2 linked regions of the Macaca fascicularis genome follow. The protein of the gene in region 2 interacts with the protein of the main gene of each other region in a biochemical or structural test. Links are inferred from orthologs where the notes say so. Each region holds a gene or a part of one and is shown on either strand. Other genes may lie near its edges.

What was found.
Region 1: of the proteins of CUL2 (region 2) and DCUN1D5, one has a biochemical effect on the other in vitro, tested with the Homo sapiens proteins (2 studies listed by BioGRID, with this or other methods). The link is inferred for Macaca fascicularis from reciprocal best matches to the Homo sapiens genes CUL2 and DCUN1D5.

The regions. Positions count from the first base shown.
Region 1 is NC_088388.1:102,097,660-102,102,216, forward strand, and holds the start of DCUN1D5 (DCN1-like protein 5), read right to left. Parts: upstream 3,107-4,557; 5' UTR 2,800-3,106; coding exon 2,714-2,799; exon of another isoform or gene 2,611-2,713; intron 268-2,610; coding exon 176-267; intron 1-175. UniProt on the Homo sapiens protein: Contributes to the neddylation of all cullins by transferring NEDD8 from N-terminally acetylated NEDD8-conjugating E2s enzyme to different cullin C-terminal domain-RBX complexes which is necessary for the activation of cullin-RING E3 ubiquitin ligases (CRLs).
Region 2 is NC_088383.1:35,802,833-35,806,652, forward strand, and holds part of CUL2 (cullin-2), read right to left. Parts: intron 1,116-3,820; coding exon 991-1,115; intron 1-990.

The sequences.
Region 1 (4,557 bases), on a different chromosome or scaffold from region 2:
TATCAGCCTAAATTGGCAACAAATTTTTAGCCTACCCACAATCGTCAGTCCCGACCCTCATCCCAGTTCACAGCACTAACACATAGCAGGCCTGTAACAGATAATTTGTTAAATGAATGAGCCAAATAAACTTTGGAAGCATATGACTGGTATCTTCTTACATTAATTTCATTACCTGCATATTCATAAAACCAAGCCAGGCACTTCTTGCTTGAAAAATGTTCCTCTCCACTTATTAGTCTAGCAGGGGGTTGGGATCTGCAATAGCTTAGAAAACACACAGATGCCTAAGATTTTTATCACATCTCAACTCTTAGAGAAAAACTAAGTTCAAAATTAACTACTTCAATTCACATTAAACAAAGATTTTTTTTTCTTCGGTTGGCATTACTGGAAAAAAATTGAAGTTGTTAAGTAACTGCAACTTGAAACAGTAGTCTATACGTAAGAATTATCGGCTAACAAAACCCAAACACCTCTTCACTCAGTATCAAAATCCAAAAATATCAGTAAGTTATTTCCTCACATTTTAAAAGACTACAAAGAAGTTCAACCTAGTAGTTGGAAAAGTATAAATATTTATTGTGATTCTATTGATTTGTATACAAATTCTATTTGTGTGTAATAGATAAATATTGAAAACACGAAGTATATTTTGATACTTAATGAATCAATATTTCAAAATAAAATGTTATATTAAGAGTTGTTTTATCACCTAAGCTTAGATTTTTAAAGATAAATGATGACTTAGGACCTAAGGGTATATTAAATTTCACAGATTTAAAAAAACACAACAAAAAAACCCTAAAAGTTAATAATAGTCCAAATAATTGGGACAGGGTATTTAATCCTAGCTCCTGTTCATTCTGTTTCATTTTTTTCATAAAATTTCTCTTTTTCATAAAATAACTAAAATTTGGTAAGCTCAAAATGGCCTCTAGAATTTAATGACTTTCAGAGAAACTTTTTTCAAGGAACTCAAATAATTATCCTACAATGATATAGAAATGCTAGAACCTCTGTAATTGAGTAATGTAAAGTAAGAGTATTATATTTAAAAATTTAAATTGATAGAGCAAAGTATCACCTGAGTTCTAATAATACTGCCTGCTCAGCAATTTTGATGTACTTAAATAATTTTAATACATTATATACTTAAGATGGCCATGAGATAGAGTAATACAAAAATGAATTAATAATTTGCCTATATATTATAAAAATATGAGCTACTAAAGAAACCCATGTCAAATTCTAATGTTGGCTAACAAGAGGTATAAGAAAAGTGTATCATCTTTCACATTAATAGCCCAAGAAATACTTCTTAGACTCCTTTACCAAAACACAGTAATGAGGGAAAAAAGTCGACCAATATACAAAAAAGATGACTAGATAAGTCATCTACCTCACAGTTTAAGCAGATCTCTGTTTAAGGAGAGCTCTAGCATTACTTCCTTCTTATAATCCTGGCTACTGTCTTCTTTTAATAGTAGCACCTTAAGTTGTCATATCAAGTGCCAAACATTGATGAAAAGGCAGCTAATATGGGTATTTTTTAAAAAAGCATTTCTCAGTCGGGCGAGGTGGCTCACGCCTGTAATCCCAGCACTTTGGGAGGCCGAGGCGGGCGGATCGCGAGGTCAGGAGTTCAAGACCAGCCTGGCCAACATAGTGAAACCCCGTCTCTACTAAAAATACAAAAAATTAGCAGGGTGTGGTGGTGGACACCTGTAATCCCAGCTACTTAGGAGGCTGACGCAGGAGAATCGCTTGAACCCGGGAGGCGGAGGTTGCAGTGAGCGGAGATCGCGCCACTGCACTCCAGCCTGGGCGACAGTGGAAGATTCCGTCACAAAGAAAAAAAAACAAAAAACAAAAACCACTTCTCACACCAAAATTGCTGTTATTTTTTTGTAGCATATAATTTTGCTGTGATGCCTCCAGGATCAAAGGGATCAAAGAACTACTACTATATAGTTCTGCCTTGTCTTCTTTCTTACCAATAGGACAGAGTACAAGAGTTCACAAATCATTTAATTTATGCTGAGAGCGAACAGCGTCCTGAATGCTAGAAGACAAAAAGCATGCAGGGCCTTTCCAACTCTGCACACAGGCACTTGGCATAGGTGAGGCACTATACTTCCAGAAAATGGGGCTCCTGCAATTTAAAAGGCCTCCTGCTGGGACCTTCCGGGTTAGGCCACTCCAAATACTAAATATGGAGGCCAATTACAGCATACAAGTTTTCCTTTCTACCATTCCCAAGACAGTTGACAAGATTCCTTATGTGCTGCTTTCTTCACACTCTACAAAGAAATTCTAGAAGTGACCCTTCCGCGGAACTGCACTCACTTCTAAGTCTAGAAATAAAGGGCAGAGGAGCGATACGGGAGTAGGAGATTGAGGGTCGGTTGTGGGGTGGGGGTGGGGGGCAGCGCAATTTACATATGCATCTGTTCCCCACCCTGCAGGGCACGTAGACTCTAAACGTGGGCGGCTCTTCTAGTCTCTCCATAAACGCCAGCGTGCACACACTCGAACACGAGGTCGGGTCGGGCGCGGAGACTCGCGGTGTTCGGCACCTACCGCCTAGCTCGATCAAAGGGGCCTCACCTGTCTCCAGCCCCAGCCCGGCAGGCCGGGCCCGACTCCTTTTCCTCCAGTTGTCCAGCAAAGGAGGGAGGAGGGAAGCTTGAAGGGTGGGGGGAGATGGTACCTGGAGATTTTACACTTTTTGAGGCCTCCGTCTTCCGCTACTGCGGCTGCCACCCCAGGGGATTTTCTCTTCTTCTTCACCGGCATCTTCCGCCCTCCCCGGCAGGGTGGGCAGGGGAGCCGGGGAAGGGGGTCCCTGTCCGCTGGAAGCCCCTCAGCGCTGGCACCCAGTTCCCAGAGACAGCAGCAAGCGGAGGAGCAGAGTCGCCAGCCCGCACCGGCGCGGCCCAGCCCGGCCGACGCCCGCTCCCAGGTATCCTCGTCGTCTTTCTCTGACCGGGACAGGGCTGGCTCCTCGCCGGTGAACACTGCGGTTCGTTCTCACCGGGAGGAGATAACGCGGACAGCGCGGCAGCTCCACCAGTCACAGAAAGCAGAAGGCTCAGCCTAACCCGGAGGCGAATCGCTGAGGCCCGGAAGTGACGCGATCGCGGAGCCGGTCCCGGGAAGGGGCGTGATTCCGGTTGCTTCTGCCACTCGTAGGTAGGCCAGGCAGGGGGAAGCTGTCTGACCCTCGCAACTGCGGCTGCCCGCGGAATTCTGTATTCGGTCCAGAGTATCCTGACGTTTCTCATGGAGTTTCTGCCGCGCTCTGATGCTGGCAGTCACCGCCAAAAAATGAAACTACTAATACTTTGCAGTTGACGTTAAAAATAACCTGGTAAAGTAGACCAAGTTCCACTTCTGAGCTCTTCCACACGATAACCTCACCTGAAGTGTTCCCACCCCTTAAATACATTGTCACCCTGTGTCTTGCGTGTTTTCTTTATGGGCCTGTGATCAGCCTCCCACTCCCCCTTCTCCCTTTTCCCTACCTTTGCATATCACTTTGTCCTGTATTGAAACTTAGCTCTACCATTATTTCCGCAGAGCTCACCTCTCCGATAACAGATAGTAGATGACCGCTACTTAGTAGGGAGAAATTTGGGGGACAGTTCTAAGGAGCCTCCCCCTAGACCTTACTAACCAAAACACACTGTAATCTATTCACTTGCACTTAGGTGGAAATACTGTTTTTAAATAATGGTTATTGTATGTAAAGACATAGTAGAAATTCGTTAGTAATTATGTTGGTAAAATAAATTTATCTCTGCAAACCAACTGTCATGGGAGAAGACTAAAAGTCTGAGTAACAGTTGAAGTGGTTCCTGTGAAACTACCTTCACCATGGCACCCTAATCTGGCCAATCCGAATATCATATTTCCTTAGTGTTATTAATTAGTTCAGGATGGACGCATACTCAGGCTAGGCCAATGAGTGCCAGTGACACAAAATTAAACTACCAGGAAGCAATTTTATTTCCTATGGATTTGAACCAGAGAAGGTACAGAGAATGAAGCCAAAACTCAGAAGAGAGCAGTAGCAAGCAGAAAAATAGAAAAACCAGAATATGATTATATGATATGAGCCCCAAATCCATGATATGCCCTGGAATTTTCAGTTATGTGAACCAACGAATTTCACTATTTTGCATATTTAGTTCAATTCTCTGTTACTTAAAACCGAAAGAATGTTAAAGTATATGATCCTTCAACCCATTTAAAAACGCATGAGGCCAAAAAAAATCAAAACAGAATCAGAGAAAGTCAACTACCATCTGCAAAAAGCACAGGACAGAGGAACATGTTAAATACCCAATGCAATCAGCAATATCTAGATGTCAGAAAAGTCTACAGGACAAATGACCCAAATTCTGCAACAAATTATTAGGATGAGAGGAGAGAGAAGGAAATTAAAAGAGACTTAAAGGATATGTCAGTCATTTTCAGTGTGCAGTTCTTATTTGAATTTGAGTCACACACAGTTTAAACAATATTATAACATCTATGTAGCAATTGGAGATG
Region 2 (3,820 bases):
CTGAACAGTGACGGCTACACACATACACACAGATACTATCTTTTTTTTTTTTTTTTTGAGACGGAGTCTTGTGCTGTCACCCAGGCTGGAGTGCAGTGGTGTGATCTTGGCTCACTGTAAGCTCCGCCTCCCGGGTTCACGCCATTCTCCCGCCTCAGCCGCCTGAGTAGCTGGGACTACAGGCACCCGCCAACATGCCCGGCTAATTTTTTGTATTTTTAGTAGAGATGGGGTTTCACGGTGTTAGCCAGGATGGTCTCCATCTCCTGACCTCGTGATCCGCCCGCCTCGGCCTCCCAAAGTGCTGGGATTACAGGCGTGACAGATACTACCTTACAGATTAAGTCAAACAGCTCTACTTAAGAAGAGACAGTAACAGTTGAAGTTACGTCTCTCTTGCTCATCATCAACCGTCACCAGTAATAACAAGATTTGGTGATAGGAAAGACAAACTGTTACAGTCATGTGATTGGTAAAGTACTCAAGGAAGATGAGTATTAGGGACACGAGGGTTATTGTTTCCGGTATTTGGGGCAGCAAGCATATACTTACAGAAGATTATTTGAATCTAAATTTGCTTACTAGACAACCAAATTCACAGAATATGGAAAGGAGGAAAATTACAAGTTGTCTATATTACCGCTGATTAATACTACTACCATGACAACAAACAATGTTATCAACGCCAATTACAGAAAAACACAGTTACTTAGAAATGGCAAGCTTATTTTTCTGTGAAAAGTTAACAACTGTTCAAAGGACACCTCCGTATGGCTAAGCAGCAGCCTATCTCATCAATAGCTTTCTAATAATTTGATAATTCCAAAATGAGTCCAACAAGCTCTAGGTTTAAAACATTTGAATAAAGACATTTCTTTTGTTGGCATGGTAAGACTTTTTCTTTCATCTTTCAAAATAGTAAAGTCAAAGGAAAGACTCCACGATGGATCTGATTAGGAGGAAAACACTGCAGTTCCCCACACAACTCACATTTTCCTGAGTAAGGTTGCTGGTTGCTCGAAGGCCCTCATCATGGATGTGGTTTTGTAGCTCCTGAATCATATGAGGTAAACCAGTGGACACAGCACGGAGTAAGACGTACATATTTGCCATGTCTGAGAGGAAAAAGACATCTGAGGATTAACTCCTAAATATTTTCATTTATTAGGTAATAAATGGATCCAAGTGCAGGAATACAATCCAACTGCAGAGTACCCAGAGAAAAGCCCCCCATGCCCACCTCCCAGCCACCCAAGCCCCTCTCCCCACAGGAAAGGGATGTGGTTATTTAACATCTTCCCAAAGATATTTTGTGCAAATTCAAGTGAATACATATATTCTTCCCTTTGCCCCTTTTAATACAGTGTACTGTATTTTGTATATTATTTGTAGCTTCAGAACACATTTTAACTTAGTAGTCTTTTCCTATCAGTACACAAAGCATTTCTATGTATTTTACAGCTGCACAGTACTCCATTATGTGGATATATTATAATTTCTTAACAACTAATGGAAATTTAGGTGGTTTCCAGTCTCTTGATATTGCAATGTTACAATCAATAATCTTATACATGAGCAAGAATATATGCAATATAAATTCCCAAAAAAGTGAGGTTACTGTGTCAAAGTTTAATCTTGTAGACAGATCCTTCTAACCACAGCTGCCAACAGCAGAGAGTTCCTTTGCCAACAATGTGTTACCAAACATTTTGATCTCTAACACTGGGAGGTAAATAATGATCTCTCAGTGTAGTGGGTTTTATTTTAAATGTTTTATTAAAGCATCATACATACAGAGAAAAGTATACAAACCATAAGTGTGTATCTTACTGAATTATTACAAGTGAACACACAACACACCCATGTAATCACACGCAGGATAAGAAATAGGCATTACCTACACCCAGGAGTCCCCTTCATGCCTCCTTCCAATCACACACTCTTGCTCCTCTGCAAAGGTAACCACTGCTGTGACTTCTAAATCACAGATGAGTTTGAACTATATATAAAAATGGGATCACACAATTCTTTCACAACTGGCTTCTTGTGTTCAACAAAATGTGTATAAGGATCATCTATGTTGTTGTACCTGGCTTTAATTTGTTCATTTCCACTCCTCTATAATATTCCATTGTATGAATATACTGTACTATTCTACAGTTACTGGACATTTGAGCCGTTCCAGTTTACGGAGCTATTACAAATACTAATAATATGAACATTCCTGTAAGTCTTTTTGTACATATGTCCAGGCACTGGCGGTCAGAAGGTACGGTGGGGTGGTTATACGTTTAGGAGTAGAACTGCTGGATCATAAAATATGCATAATATATCCCACTTAGCGGTCAATGCCAGTTTCCCAAAGTAGTTGCATCAATTTATACTCTCACTTCAGTGTTCGAAAAGCTCCTGCTGCTTCACATTTCTTTTTATGTTTATTGGCCATCTGGGTATCTTCTATTCTGCAGTGTCTGTTTTTTGGCCATTTTATATTTTGGATATAAATCTTTGCTATTGCAGCTACATTACCCTATAAGTGTCTTCTGATGATCCAGTGGTTTTCATGGCTTTTTTTGAGACAGGGTCTCACTCTGTCACCCAGGCTGGAGTGCTCTGGCAGGATCTCGGCTCACTGCAACCACCACCTTCCAGGCATGAGTGATCCTCCCACCTCAGCCTCCCAAGTAGATGGGACCACAGGTGCACACCACCCCACCTGGCTAATGCTTGTATTTTTTTGCAGAGATGGGATATTGTCATGTTGCCCAGGCTGGTCTTGAACTCCTGAGCTCAAGCAATCTTCCTCCCTCTTAATGGCCTTTTAATAATCCAAAGTTTTTCATTTTAATGTAGTTCACTGGATCAATTGTTCCTTTGTGGTTAGGGCTTTTTGTGTCCTATTTAAAATATCTTTCCCTATCTCAAGGTTATGAAGATATTCTCCGATATTATCTTCTAAAAGTGTTATTTTTTTTACCTTGTACATTTAGATAAAAACTCTAGTGAATGGATTTTGCGTATGGTATCTGACGTAGTGATCAAATTTCATTTTCTTCCGAAATGGATATCCAATTGACTGAGCAATGTGTGTTGAAAACATCACCTTCTACCTGCTGCTCTGCAGCGCCACCTTGGCCTTACATCAAGTGGCCACATATGCATGGGTTGTTCTGGGGTCTCTTATTTTATTGTGATATCTGTCTGTCCTTGTACCAATGCCTCACTGTCTTAATTACTATAGGTTTTACAATTAGTCTTGCTGGCCATTAAAGTCTTTCCATCATACTCTTCAAGACAGTGACTTCCGGAATTAAAAAAAATTATTGTGTTTTGACTACATTGTCCTGGGTCTACGAAATCAATGTTGCTTTAAAAAACACGGGGCCGGGTGCGGTGGCTCACATCTATAATCTCAGCACTTTGGGAGGCGGAGGCGGGCGGATCACGAGCTCAGGAGTTTGAGACCAGCCTGGCCAACATAGTGAAGCCCCATCTTTACTAAAAATACAAAAATTAGCCAGGTGTGGGGGCAGATGCCCGTAGTCCCAGCTACTCGGGAGTCTGAGGCAGGGGACTCTCTTGAACCCGGGAGGTAGAGGTTACAGTGAGCCAAGATCGCGCCACTGCGCTCCAGCCTGGGTGACAGGGCGGGACTCCATCTCAAGAAGAAAAAAACAAAAACAAAAACAAAAAACCTGATTAATGGCCAGGCGCGGTGACTCACACCTGTAATCCCAGCACTTTGGGAGGCTGGGGCAAGTGGATCATCTGAGGTCAGGAGCTCGAGACCAGAAGGCCAACATGGTGAAACGCTATCTCT